Linked DNA regions of Saccharomyces cerevisiae S288C. The gene in region 3 interacts genetically with the main gene of each other region. Each region holds a gene or a part of one and is shown on either strand. Other genes may lie near its edges.

Region 1 (3,628 bases), on a different chromosome or scaffold from region 3:
GTTCCATGAGGCTGTCTTTGTAAACAGGTAATATATCCTTAATAAATGAGGAATTTTGATCACTTTGTAAGATCGTCTTTCTGAAAATTGATCTTTCGAAAAAATTAGGAAATGTGGGAAGGTTAACGAACTTCAGTCTCAATATAGGAAGATTTTCGTTGAGATACTTTATTTTCATATCTCTGGGTAGGTCTTTTTTAGTTGTTTTTATCTTTCTGACGATGATGAATAAATGTGACTCAAAATATTTGACATACTGTTCTATGGCTTTGCTGGTACTTCCAAGTAAATTACATAAATGGTACTCGATGGAATCGGAGTATATTTTGAGGTGATCTACATTAGCTAGCTGAACTACCTCATCAAATAGCCTTTCAGTATCATGATTGGATCCATATGCTGCCTTTAACTTTTCTGAAACGGCATCATCACAGAATTCCTTGAATTTTGACAGCATATTTTTTGCTTCAAAAGCATTTCTAAACATCAATAAGCTAAAGTGTGTCTCAGTTTTGAAATATCTCTCTTTTTCTTCATCATAAGTGTCCTTCCCAATTTCTATGTATTCGCTAATAGACTTCTTGTTCAACAGTAGATGGCTTATAAATAGGTCATTTGCATCGCTGACCCATTCAGGGGAAAATAAAGATGCTAATAATGCATTCCTCGTCAATAGTACCTTAAAATTCTTGAAAGTTTCCAGCCTCGGCCTTAAATTTGATTCCTCACAGTAATATTGTCTGAGAGTTTTCATATAAAAATCTTTGGGGCTCAAGCCCTCTATACTAAAATTGCAGTTAGACATTATACGGAGCATAGGAACTTCCTTCTCTAACATTGTATTCGTTATTGGAAACATATGAATATAGTGATGAATAGTAGCGCTTACAAGGGTGGAAAATTCCCTTCCAAAATGTGACTTCATACATTCGAAAAGTTTGGAATCATAATACTGAAATATCGTTAAGGTCTCAAATCCTAGTTCTTTTCTTATCATGGGATAATTTACCGGCACATACGATATAATAGGACCAACGGCACCCATTACGTACTGAAATAGCTTGTAAAAAGAGGTCCAATTTTTGGGTATAATTTCATAAGAATAGTCGCATCTGGTCAAAAAGCTAAGGACGTGCGCGTCAATTATTAACTTTGCCAATTCATCACAAAATTCTTGAAAACTCAGCACAATTTGGTGTTGATGTAGCAGCTGAAACTTCTTTTGCTTTTCGTCATTCCCATTAAATTCTGAGTTGTAAGGAATGTATGATTTCCTTTGCGTTAATTCACGGCAATTGTTCAACATCTTAGGCATTAGCTTTCTAAATTTAGCGGCCTTTTCTTTATTACACTCCAATTCTTTCACGTCAGTTTCAGTTATAGTTTCAGCTAAAGTAAGGTGAAAAAACTCGTGCAGCTCAGCAATCATCGTTCGATACCTGGGATTTCGCTCATCGTTAAATTTATTGTATAGTCCTAAAGCGTTGCTTGCACTCGTCTCTCTGCTTATAGACTCGTGGAATCCTTCTCTCTTGGAAACGCTCTCATTTATCATTGTTCCTGTGAACCCGTACGAGAATTTATACCAGTAAAAAAGATTGGTGGGTTTAATATCTTGAGGATTCCTTCAAAGTAGTCTTTTAGTGCAAAGATATCGATGATCTTCATTCGCATTGTTCATATTCATCATTACGCAAAGGATAGCTATGCGTTCCGCTTCGTCATACTTAATCAGGAATATTGAACATCCAAAAATCTCCGAGCTCACGTATGTAGAATTTTTGATGAATACAAAAGAAGAAAACACTAGACTTTTCTTTGATGTTTACATTATGTCTATGATGCTAAGTAATTGGGCACTCTCCCCTCGATATGTGGGACAGCGAAACCTCATACATTGCACCACTTTATTTCACACACTTACACGATGGGCAAAAGACGCAGACGATAAATATCATGATATAAACTCAATGTATGAAAACATGTTTACACCTTCAAATGATAACGTTTCAATTTTGCAGGATGAAGGTAAATCTGATTATGATACGACGAAGGCCAGCTCTATGGAAGAAGATATCAGTGCTTTTAATAAAGACTTGTACAATTTCTATAATATTGGATATGCCAAACAGATCATGTCTGCTTCACAATTGGAAAATATAGTAAAGGCAAAGGGCAGATTTGTTATACAAAGTTTATCCACCAGTCCTTATTATAATTTGGCCCTTGAAAACTATGTTTTCAAGAATACACCAAGAGCCAAAAGAGGTCCCGATAATTGCAGACTGTTATTTTACATCAATGATAGGTGCGCCGTTATAGGCAAAAACCAAAATCTGTGGCAGGAAGTAGATCTTGCTAAGCTGAAGAGTAAGAATTTCGAACTACTTAGAAGATTTTCTGGAGGTGGCACTGTACTGCATGATTTGGGCAATGTTAATTATTCATATTTAACATCAAGGGAGAAATTCGAAACAAAGTTTTTCAACAAAATGATAATTAAGTGGTTAAATTCATTGAATCCCGAACTAAGACTAGATTTGAATGAGAGAGGAGATATTATTCAGGACGGGTTTAAAATTAGTGGCAGTGCTTATAAAATTGCCGGTGGCAAAGCATACCATCATGCAACGATGTTGCTTAATGCGGATTTAGAACAGTTTAGCGGCTTATTAGAACCCTCACTACCGAACAATATGGAATGGGAGTCAAGTGGAGTTCATAGTGTAAAATCAAAAATCAAAAATGTTGGTATAATTACTCCTAATCAGTTCATTGCAGTGGTATCCGAGCGTTTTCAGAAAACATTCAAAGTTGACGGCGAAATACCTATATATTACTGTGACGAGTTTAAATCTATAAACGATGAGATTAAAGATGCTATGAACACCTTACAGAGCGAACAATGGAAATATTTCTCGGGGCCTAAATTTTCAGTGAAGATTAAAGATAAAGGCTTAACAATTAAAGTCGAAAAGGGCATGATTTATGATTGTGATAGAAATGATTTAATCGGCTTGGAATTCAAAGGATTTTTGGAGAATATTGACAGTTACACATAACGTTGATGAATATTTCAATTCACTTGTAAATAACGTAGGTAAATATCAAAATTAAAGTCTTTCACCGGAAACTGATTCAGCATATTTCAGCAGACGCGTCCTAGATTCACAGCAAACTTCAATATAAGCGATACATTAGGAGTGTTCGTACTTTAGATCTATAAGAACTATATTTTGTTACGATTCAGCCGTCTCTAAATGTGAACTAAATATTTATACTGTTATTTGAGAAACCGACAGATAGTACTTAATTTTATCGATCATCTAAGAATAGCATCGGTATTGTGGTGACATTTATTGAATTTCTTCCGCTCCAGAATAAAGTTCCTTTTCACTTCAAAAAACTGCCACCAGTAAAGTTGCACCAGTGGTTTTTGAGCATTTTTTGTCAATGTCGCTTAACCGTTCTTGAACTGTATCCTCTTGACGTCGATAAAATCATTTGTAAAAACCAGGCCAAATCATCATTGAATAATTTACACTGTGTCTTCAATGTCGCCATTTGGACCAATAATTATCAAACTGTTCACAATTCACTCAAAGTCCTTTCAGCAACATTCTTATGA
Region 2 (3,987 bases), on a different chromosome or scaffold from region 3:
GTGACATTTATCTTGAGGTAAGAACAGAAGAAAAAAAGGAAAAAGAGAAAATTTTATGAGATTGCTTTTTTCACATGACCATATTATATTCGCTTTATCAACTTTTTAGTGTATCTTCTACTCTAGGACAGATAAAGATGCATTAACCTTGTCATTTTGCTTCTTCTGCAGGTTCATATACATATAAACGTTAGTTACACCTTGACGTAGTATATCGACTACAGGCTAGATTTTACTGCTAAATCAGCGCGCCAGCCCACCACAATTCGATTTGAAAGCGCTTTGCAGGAATTTAAGAGCATTTTGTTTTCTATTCATTGATATCATTTGCCAAGTATATAACATAACCGGTAGGCATAGGGGACTCAAAGCGTAAAAATCATGAAGTCATAGCCATTTCCTTATGTAATATATATTTATATAAATTATAAACTACTCATTCGTATATGAAAATACGTGTTTGAATAGTCGCATACCCTGAATCAAAAATCAAATTTTCCTTAGTTCTTACTTTCGATTTTCTTTACCAACTCCTTGTATTTTTCGGTGGAGAATGATTTTGGCCTTTCGATTGGAGCACCAACAGCCCTATCGATGATTAATTGGGGTAACACACCAATAGCTCTGGCAACACCAAACAATACAGTGTAGAACGAAGCCTCAGTTAGACCATAGTATTGCAATAAAACACCGGAATGTGAATCAACATTTGGCCATGGGTTCTTAGTTTTACCATGCTTAGTTAAAACCCCTGGGGCAACTTCATAAATGGTGGAGACCAACTTAAATAACTCGTAATCTGGGAAATGTTTCAATGCGAATTCACGTTGAGCCGTATAACGAGGATCAGTTTTTCTCAAAACCGCATGGCCATAACCAGGAACAACTCTCCCTGCGTTCAAAGTATCCCACAAGTACTTTTCAATTGTTTCTTTTGAATAGTCACCTTTCACTTCTTCTCTCAATTTAAATAGCCATTCTAAAACTTCTTGATTGGCACGACCATGTAATGGGCCAGCTAAACCATTCAAACCAGCGGCCAAAGATAAGTATGGCGAAGATAAGGCAGAACCCACTAAATGTGTAGTATGGGCAGAAACGTTACCACCTTCATGATCAGAATGAATAGTTAAATATAGTCTCATTAAGTCAATAAAATCCTTGTTTTCGTAGCCCAAAAGTTGGGCCAAATTTTTACCATAGTCAGCATTAGGATCGGTTGAAGTAATTTTACCATCCTTGAACACATTACGATAAATTTTGGAAGCAATAACAGGTAATTTACCCAGCAGATCTAACGAATCTTCAAATGTATAGCTCCAATATTCTTTCTTGGATACACCTTGAGCATATGCTTTGGCAAACTTAGACTCGCTTTCTAAAGCAGTCACGGCAATAGAAAATTGCGCCATTGGATGTAGATCTTTTGGGAGGCTATCTAAAAGTTGGATAACGTGCTCTGGAATTTCTGATCTGGCAGCTAAATCAGCAGAAAGGGCTTTAACTTGAGCGTCAGTAGGTATTTCACCAGTCAAAAGCAACCAAAATAAAGCTTCTGGCAAAGGTTCTGTACTACCCTCAGCCTTTGGTAGTTCCCTTTGAATTTCTGGAATAGTACGACCCCTAAATCTAATACCTTCTTCGGGGTCTAACACGGAACCTTCCCAAACAAGGCCTTTAATACCTCTCATACCACCATAAGCTTGCTCCAAAAGAACTTCACCAATAACGGTTTTACCGTGTTCTTTCTTGAATTTTTTAATTTCTTCTGCCTTTGCTGGGATAATTTCAGCAAATCTCTCCTTCAACGTTTGTTCGGAGGCGCTACTATAGTGGCGAGCATTCAATAGTGCAAAAAGAGCCTTTTGCATATTTTGACATTGTCTTGTGGAGCCCCTTGATAAGAAACTTTTGCTAGTTGTTGATAATATCGCTGACATCTTCGTAAATAGTATTATATTGCTATATGTTTTGCCTTATTTTCTTTTTAATGGTTGTAATTGTAATTACTTAAATGCAAATAAAAGCCAAAACAAACCTGGTTTGTATTTTAGTAAACAGCAAATTTCCCCCTTAAGACTAGCAATCCATAACAGGGGAAGGGTAAAGAATAGTTGCTGCAAGTTTTGAGCATTTATATAATGGATGGATATCAATTGACATTTTCAAACAACAAGAGGTCGGATAAGTCGATAGTATCGGAAAAGCTCCAAAGGGATTGCGATCCTCCAATAACACAAAAGTATTTTTGGTCTAGCGGGGGTCATACTTTTCATTTCCGGGCGGCTGCGGCGGAAAAAAACGTGACGCCTTTTAGCACAAAAATGCAAGGTAAATACATAAAAAAAAAGGCAATGTGAACGTAAAAACGCTCATATTTACAAAGATTAATTGAGCCGTTCAATGAAATGCGAACTTCGGAGATTTCTTTAATTAGTTTAGGTATACTTTCCTGCGAAGGTCTTGTTGGAATATGTAGTAATCTCTACCCGCGTTTTTAGTTAATGCTGAATGGTTTTTGATGGCTCCTTTTTTCTTAGAGTGACAGGCGCGGCAGCCCCTTAACGCGGGTACCTGAACAAGTAAATCCGAAAATTCAATTTGACAAGGGAATCATTGGGCTGACAACAATAAGATGAGCTCTCTTATATTTTTGCCCAGGGAAAAATTTTTTGCCCACTAAAGATATGCAATATTAAAAAATTTGATAAAAATAAATCAATGGGGGCGAGCCGGGACTCGAACCCGGGACCTCCCGCACCCTAAGCGAGAATCATACCTCTAGACCACACGCCCGGTAGAAGTTGTTTTAATGAATTTCAAAATATGGTACCTCAACATCAATAGATCATCAACCACAACGTAAAACATGCATGTGAGGCTTAGGTGATTTTTGAGATAATTGTTGGGATTCCATTGTTGAAAAAGGCTATAATATTAGGTATACAGAATATACTAGAAGTTCTCCTCGAGGATCTAGGAATCCTCATATTCCTCTGTTGATAATTAGAGGTTAAAAATTAGTATTAATGAAGAAATAAGTACTGATCTTCTTATACTAAATAAGAGATGTATATAAAACACACGCTGATTGGTCATATTAATCATGACCAATATAATAGTGATTCCGGTAGTTACTAAACATTGATGTGACGACTCATATTCCTCATATATGTACCTACCATAACATGTTCAACTAATAGGTCTTTAACACAGCTTCAGTATTGTCTGAGCTTCTCGTTTAACATTCCTTCTGCAATAGGCGCAATCACACTTAAACGTATACGAGGTGTACATTAATATACGATGTAAGCATTAGATTGTTACCATAGCAACTCATGTCACTATTAATTACTCTCGTTCCAACAAAACAATTCTTAAAAATTCACCAATTTAGCTTCATGGCAAGGCTTACAGATGATTAAAATCGTGTAGATCATGGAAATCGAACCTTTCACGTTCTGCAGAATTTAAAGTGACTCCATGGCCAAGTTGGTTAAGGCGTGCGACTGTTAATCGCAAGATCGTGAGTTCAACCCTCACTGGGGTCGTTTTTTTTCTTATTTCAGATAGTCTTGTCGGTAGCAAACAGTCAAATCGCTATCACTTACATGTGATATCATTTCTGTACTGCTTATGCACTATGAAGTGCGGTTTCTTTTTTATGCGATATTACATGTGTCAATAGCAAAAGGGGTAAACCGTGCTCCTATACAACAAGAACAATAGTTCGGAAATGCATGAGAACAGTGTTGTTTTATAAAGGATTCTATGTGAAATAAAACAAAGGCCGATTTGTTCGACATTTGCTGGGCTTTTCATAAATAATGGATCATAAGAATATATAATAGGGGTAAAAGTTATTTTAGCCTGCACTTTTGTGTTTTTAGAAGAACACCTTATCATTGCTAGGTAATGCGAATGGATGGACCATAATGTACGAGTTTTGTCTTGTGGCAATACCTGCGTAAGCGTTGTACCAGGCAA
Region 3 (3,984 bases):
CTGCATTCTCTCAGATTTTAGATGATGCGGTTTTTTACAGGGCATTGAAACAATTGCAGAAAAGCAACATACTAATATATCATAACTTTTTACTCTTGCCTCTCAGAAACTATATATACGTTGTAATCATTTTCTTTCTTCTAATAGCTAGTTCGTTTGAACTACAAGGAAATAAGGCAGAGAAAAAGAAAGGAAAATAATATGCCAAAGAGAATTGTATACAATATATCCAGTGACTTCCAGTTGAAGTCGTTACTGGGAGAGGGTGCATACGGTGTGGTATGTTCTGCAACGCATAAGCCCACGGGAGAAATCGTGGCAATAAAAAAGATCGAACCATTCGATAAGCCTTTGTTCGCATTACGTACGCTGCGTGAAATAAAGATCCTGAAGCACTTCAAGCACGAAAATATCATAACAATCTTCAACATTCAACGCCCTGACTCGTTCGAAAACTTCAATGAGGTCTACATAATTCAAGAGCTAATGCAGACAGATTTACACCGTGTAATCTCCACCCAGATGCTGAGTGACGATCATATACAATATTTTATATACCAAACCTTGAGAGCAGTGAAAGTGCTGCATGGTTCGAACGTCATCCATCGTGATTTAAAGCCCTCCAACCTTCTCATAAACTCCAACTGTGACTTGAAAGTATGTGATTTCGGTTTAGCAAGAATCATTGACGAGTCAGCCGCGGACAATTCAGAGCCCACAGGTCAGCAAAGCGGCATGACCGAGTATGTGGCCACACGTTGGTACAGGGCGCCAGAGGTGATGTTAACCTCTGCCAAATACTCAAGGGCCATGGACGTGTGGTCCTGCGGATGTATTCTCGCTGAACTTTTCTTAAGACGGCCAATCTTCCCTGGCAGAGATTATCGCCATCAACTACTACTGATATTCGGTATCATCGGTACACCTCACTCAGATAATGATTTGCGGTGTATAGAGTCACCCAGGGCTAGAGAGTACATAAAGTCGCTTCCCATGTACCCTGCCGCGCCACTGGAGAAGATGTTCCCTCGAGTCAACCCGAAAGGCATAGATCTTTTACAGCGTATGCTTGTTTTTGACCCTGCGAAGAGGATTACTGCTAAGGAGGCACTGGAGCATCCGTATTTGCAAACATACCACGATCCAAACGACGAACCTGAAGGCGAACCCATCCCACCCAGCTTCTTCGAGTTTGATCACTACAAGGAGGCACTAACGACGAAAGACCTCAAGAAACTCATTTGGAACGAAATATTTAGTTAGCCATCATTATCATTAAAATATCAACCCGAAGAACAATGTATACATATACATATACGTACACATATACATATGTACATATGACATACGTATTAGCCGCTGAGGACGCGGACGTATAAAAGGACAATACTTATATGGAGCTAAGGGGAGCAGTTACGCAACTCCGTGATCGCGCGCCACGGGCCGTCGGCGGCTGTTAATTGAAGAAAAAAAAAATGAAGAACCACAAGGGGTGATCCATATAGGTGACTAGCATCATCCCCTGCGACGCGCGGCCCGCCGGGCCAAAGGCGGGCAATGCGCGCTGCTGATTGGCCTCGAGGACAACGCCCTCAACCACATCCGCAACAGCCAATCCCATCGGAGCGTCAAACTACCAAAGTAGTGATTGTATGGATGACCACTGTATTGTGGACGGTAAGCGCTTGCTGGAGCAAATGTGTAATCAAGTTGCTGTGTATATATAGACGTTAGATGTGTTCTACCCCTTCTTTTGTCTTGTGCCCACCGGGCTTACATTAGCACACAAAGCAGCAAGAGACCGTCTTACTAGACAATAGCGGCAAAACAAACAACACATTTCTTTTTTTCTTTTTCACATATTGCACTAAAATGACAATTTCTAATTTGTTAAAGCAGAGAGTTAGGTATGCTCCCTATCTGAAAAAAGTTAAGGAAGCTCACGAGCTTATTCCATTGTTCAAGAATGGTCAGTACCTTGGGTGGTCCGGTTTTACAGGAGTGGGTACTCCCAAGGCAGTGCCGGAGGCACTGATAGATCACGTGGAGAAGAACAATTTACAAGGGAAGTTGAGATTCAACCTTTTTGTTGGAGCTTCTGCTGGTCCAGAGGAAAACCGTTGGGCTGAACACGACATGATCATTAAGAGAGCCCCTCATCAAGTAGGGAAACCCATTGCAAAGGCAATTAACCAGGGTAGAATTGAGTTCTTTGATAAACATCTGTCCATGTTCCCTCAGGATCTGACATACGGGTTCTACACCAGGGAAAGAAAAGACAACAAAATCCTTGATTATACTATAATCGAGGCAACGGCCATTAAAGAGGACGGGTCTATCGTCCCAGGTCCCTCTGTCGGTGGTTCTCCAGAATTCATTACAGTCAGTGATAAAGTGATTATTGAGGTTAACACGGCTACGCCTTCGTTCGAGGGTATTCACGATATAGACATGCCCGTGAACCCACCTTTCAGGAAACCATACCCATATCTGAAAGTGGACGACAAGTGTGGTGTTGACTCCATCCCGGTTGATCCTGAAAAGGTTGTTGCGATTGTGGAGTCCACCATGAGGGACCAGGTCCCACCAAATACGCCCTCTGACGACATGTCCAGGGCTATTGCAGGTCATTTGGTCGAGTTTTTCAGAAACGAGGTAAAACATGGTAGGCTACCTGAAAACCTGCTGCCTTTACAAAGTGGTATAGGTAACATTGCTAACGCTGTCATTGAAGGGCTTGCTGGCGCCCAATTCAAGCACTTGACTGTATGGACGGAAGTGCTGCAGGACTCGTTCTTGGATCTTTTCGAGAACGGATCTTTGGACTACGCCACTGCTACTTCCGTGAGATTGACTGAAAAGGGTTTCGACAGAGCCTTTGCAAACTGGGAAAATTTCAAACACAGATTGTGTTTGAGATCTCAAGTTGTCTCGAACAATCCGGAAATGATCCGTAGATTGGGTGTCATCGCCATGAATACCCCAGTAGAAGTTGACATTTACGCGCACGCCAATTCTACAAATGTGAATGGTTCCCGTATGTTGAACGGGTTGGGTGGATCTGCTGATTTCTTGAGAAATGCAAAGTTGTCCATCATGCATGCCCCCTCTGCAAGACCAACTAAAGTAGACCCTACCGGTATCTCTACCATTGTTCCTATGGCCTCTCATGTAGATCAAACTGAGCATGACCTGGACATCTTGGTCACTGACCAAGGTTTGGCGGATCTAAGAGGTCTATCGCCTAAGGAAAGAGCCCGTGAAATCATCAACAAGTGTGCTCATCCCGATTATCAAGCTTTGTTGACCGATTACTTGGACAGAGCAGAGCATTACGCTAAAAAGCACAATTGCTTGCATGAACCACACATGCTAAAGAATGCTTTCAAGTTCCACACCAACTTAGCTGAAAAGGGTACAATGAAGGTCGACAGCTGGGAACCAGTTGACTAGTGTTTGTGCGCAAACCGAGAGATGAGTATTTAACAAAAAAAAGAAAGGAAATGATATGATTATGATTTTATGTTTATAAAGCTTTTATCCAATGCGTTGTTTTTTCTTGCATATTTATACTTTTTGCGCTCATGGAGGGAGTTAATCAATACGCATGACGTCTAGTTAATTCACAGGTAGTACTGTATATTTATATGTTTACACAATAATTATGTATTAAGTAGTGATTAGTAAAAAAAACTAAGAGGTTGAAAGTCATCAACCCTTATATTAATTTCAACGAATTTCGCTGATGACGTCAGGGTAGTTCTCTTGCTTAGGTCAATGTAAAAATGCCAGGGTAATACAAAACCAAGCTCTGAACCGCCCAACTTATCTGTAATGATGCATGTATACCTTACAATGATTTTTTTTCTCCTATTATGGAATTAATATTGGAATCCATGTTTGTGAACAGCCTTCTCCGCAATTTAGCTTCAAGCTAATAAGTGGTTATTGTTTGCGCGCGCTTGAAGGCAAGGATCATCGCTT
Region 4 (3,250 bases), on a different chromosome or scaffold from region 3:
CATTACCTTCACAACTAGAAAATAAGGATAAGTCAGCGTCAGGCACCAAATGCCTTTTCGCCTCTAAGCCACTAGGATTGACCATTGATACTTCTACTAGAAGTAATGCTGCATCGTGTACCGAAAATGATGTAAACGCTACTGCCTCAAATCCTCCAAAAAGTCCAAGCATAACGGTTAACGAGTTTTTCCATTAGAGCACTAGAGCATAACTAATACTATAAATTAGACAAAGCAGAAAAAGGGAAAAAGGTTCATGCTATGATAATGTAAAGAATATGCGTAGAGATATCTATATATCCATTTATACGTTTATATACTTGCGTGTTTACTTTGTATGGCATAATAACATGTATGTTTGCATTAGGGATTTGTTTTAGTGTATCCAAGAGCGATTAGTATAGAAGGAATGTATGTATGTGTATACGATATTTATATAAAGGGAAGTTGGCTAATTTTTTGCACACTTTCGTCCTCTTTCCATTTTCAATGAATGCGTAGAAGCACAGACTGGGAGTGGAGAGAGTTCGCAGTTTTGATCTCTTTCTCAATCTTTGTTCTCCTCTGCCGCCTTGTGATAAGCGTCTATAGTTGCTAAAGAGGTGTATTCTATAGTGTCCACTTGGGGACAATTTCTCCGAATAAGGTTATAAATCACATTGCCCGGGCCAAAGCAAATACTCTTATCAATTTCCACTGGGGTTCCAGAGTTTATGGTATCATAACACATGGTGAATTGCACAGTCCTGCTTGAACACTTAACGAATCTATCTAGGGCATGATGAATATAGTAAGATATATTACCATCTAAGTTAGCTATTATTGGATGGTTCAACTCCATCAACGTGTGAGTTCCGTTTTTCTTTAATATATCCCAAATGTAGTCATAGAGTGGTTCCTGAACGGGCCTCAACACAGTGCTATTATGGAAGGGGATGTTGTATGGGTTAGTTAATTCTGTAATTCTTAAACGCGGGAACCTTAAGTTCAATTCTGTTCTTAAGGACTCTAAATCATCAACCAGACCGGTGACTACACATTGCTTTACTGAATTTGCATTTGCTACAGAAATGGTATTTTGTGAAGATGATAATAAATTAGGGGAATTTAGTAGTTTTTGCACTTCTTGCGGTAAATCTGTGGCCCTCGGAGAAGAGAGTGCCCACATTTCAAATTTGTTGGATCTGTTGATATTGTGGGCTACTAAGTACTTTTCAGTAGATGTTACCATTAACTTATTTCTAAAATTAGCAATATCAAAAAGATCCTTTAACGAAAACAGTGAATTAACACTCAGACATGTTAACTCGCCTAGCGAGTGACCCAAAAGGTAACATTGTTCATTGTCTTTCTTGTCGGGGGAATCGATCTTAGTCATATTTTTTGGTGCTTGATCTTGAGGATCAGAAGGATTCGAGAGTATCTGGTACAATTGATAGAAAAGGTTGGAGCAGACTGCAATGCTTCCGGGGCTGGAAGGGTTCTGGAAGATGTACTGCAATAGATCATTTGATTCCTTGCCGTTCTGACTCAGTATTGTTTGGAATTCTCTTGATTTGTTTCTTATTATCGCTTTTAATATCGAAATGGAGATGGAGGTCCCTTGACCTGGGAAGGTTAGTAGCTTCATACAAACGCTTATATATGTGTACCACGATCAGAAAAGTGCAAAACGCTTTGTTACTACCCTCAGTGTACGTTATTGAATAGTTCTAATATGCAGCAAGTTACTGGTAAGCTTTGTTTTACCCTTGAGTTCGATACTCAGTTTACTTCCTCCATCGGAGGTTGAAATGCGCCTTGTCATACGGCCAAAAAATGCCATGTAAGAAGATGACACTTTCTGCATTTTGAGTATATTTAAGGGCCTATAATTTTCTTCCAACTTTCTCAAGACAAGCATATTGTGTACTTTCGGTTTAGCAAGCCTTTTTACTTCGTTAACACAAGGCGATGCTAACGTGTGTTTACTGTTTTAGAAGATCGGCATTTATCAAATGTAAGGACAATGAGACATGGTTGACCAATTAGTTCTTCTCAGATAGGAGTTCTAGTTCTTCTGCATACTACTTAGTCCTCTTCTGTCGTTGACATTCAATTGCTTGTGCATTTCTAACATGAAATAGTGGTACTACGAATGCTATTATTCTATGCCAGGCAAATTCCTCTGGAACTTTTTTTTTTTCAGTTTTTTCGTGGTGAGCTTTTTTTGCCTGTCTATCTCGAAAGATCTTGTTGTTGATGACTCAGTGCAGTCGCGATCACTTTCGACTCGACATGCATTTGCAAGTAATTCTGTTATAAAACGTTCTCTTCGTTTTTTCAGTCTGAAGCTCTTCTGCACTTTTTTACTGGGTTAGATTCTATATAGTCAAGTAATTCGAGGTAGCATCAAAGTAATATGTCATCAGACTCAAACGCAAAGCCATTGCCTTTTATATATCAGTTCATATCAGGTGCCGTCGCCGGTATTTCTGAGTTAACTGTTATGTATCCGCTTGATGTTGTTAAGACAAGATTTCAACTGGAGGTGACGACGCCTACTGCCGCTGCAGTAGGAAAGCAAGTAGAGAGATATAATGGTGTCATCGATTGTTTGAAAAAAATTGTAAAGAAGGAAGGGTTTAGCAGACTTTACAGAGGTATTAGTTCACCAATGTTGATGGAAGCACCAAAGAGAGCCACCAAATTTGCATGTAACGATCAATATCAAAAAATCTTCAAAAACCTATTCAACACGAATGAAACTACGCAGAAGATCTCCATTGCGGCTGGTGCATCTGCTGGTATGACAGAAGCTGCAGTTATTGTTCCATTTGAATTGATCAAAATCAGGATGCAAGACGTCAAGTCCAGCTATCTTGGACCAATGGACTGTTTGAAAAAAACAATCAAAAACGAAGGTATTATGGGGCTATACAAGGGTATCGAATCTACCATGTGGAGAAACGCTCTTTGGAATGGTGGCTACTTCGGTGTTATCTACCAAGTGAGAAATTCCATGCCCGTAGCAAAGACAAAGGGACAAAAGACCAGAAATGACCTTATTGCAGGTGCGATCGGTGGTACGGTCGGGACCATGCTTAACACTCCCTTTGACGTGGTGAAATCCAGAATCCAAAGTGTGGACGCGGTCAGCAGTGCTGTTAAAAAATACAACTGGTGCCTACCTTCGCTATTGGTCATATACCGTGAAGAAGGCTTCAGAGCATTGTACAAAGGTTTCGTCCCCAAAGTATGTAGACTAGCA

The links.
Region 1: mutations in ACH1 (region 3) and AIM22 together harm fitness more than expected from each alone (negative genetic interaction), as found in Saccharomyces cerevisiae (2 studies listed by BioGRID).
Region 2: mutations in ACH1 (region 3) and CIT1 together harm fitness more than expected from each alone (negative genetic interaction), as found in Saccharomyces cerevisiae (3 studies listed by BioGRID).
Region 4: mutations in ACH1 (region 3) and MCT1 together harm fitness more than expected from each alone (negative genetic interaction), as found in Saccharomyces cerevisiae (3 studies listed by BioGRID).

Annotation. Positions count from the first base shown.
Region 1 is NC_001142.9:350,554-354,181, forward strand, and holds AIM22 (putative lipoate--protein ligase), read left to right. Parts: upstream 1-1,832; coding exon 1,833-3,062; downstream 3,063-3,628. Other genes in the region: cullin RTT101, read right to left, coding at 1-1,555. UniProt on the Saccharomyces cerevisiae protein: Catalyzes both the ATP-dependent activation of exogenously supplied lipoate to lipoyl-AMP and the transfer of the activated lipoyl onto the lipoyl domains of lipoate-dependent enzymes.
Region 2 is NC_001146.8:629,122-633,108, forward strand, and holds CIT1 (citrate (Si)-synthase CIT1), read right to left. Parts: upstream 1,941-3,987; coding exon 501-1,940; downstream 1-500. Other genes in the region: putative ammonium permease ATO2, read right to left, coding at 3,887-3,987. UniProt on the Saccharomyces cerevisiae protein: Specific citrate synthase with catalytic activity only with acetyl-CoA.
Region 3 is NC_001134.8:192,250-196,233, forward strand, and holds ACH1 (acetyl-CoA hydrolase), read left to right. Parts: upstream 1-1,872; coding exon 1,873-3,453; downstream 3,454-3,984. Other genes in the region: mitogen-activated serine/threonine-protein kinase FUS3, read left to right, coding at 202-1,263. UniProt on the Saccharomyces cerevisiae protein: Presumably involved in regulating the intracellular acetyl-CoA pool for fatty acid and cholesterol synthesis and fatty acid oxidation. It may be involved in overall regulation of acetylation during melatonin synthesis.
Region 4 is NC_001147.6:755,929-759,178, forward strand, and holds MCT1 ([acyl-carrier-protein] S-malonyltransferase), read right to left. Parts: upstream 1,631-3,250; coding exon 548-1,630; downstream 1-547. Other genes in the region: RCN2 (Rcn2p), read left to right, coding at 1-197; ODC2 (mitochondrial 2-oxodicarboxylate carrier), read left to right, coding at 2,402-3,250. UniProt on the Saccharomyces cerevisiae protein: Involved in biosynthesis of fatty acids in mitochondria.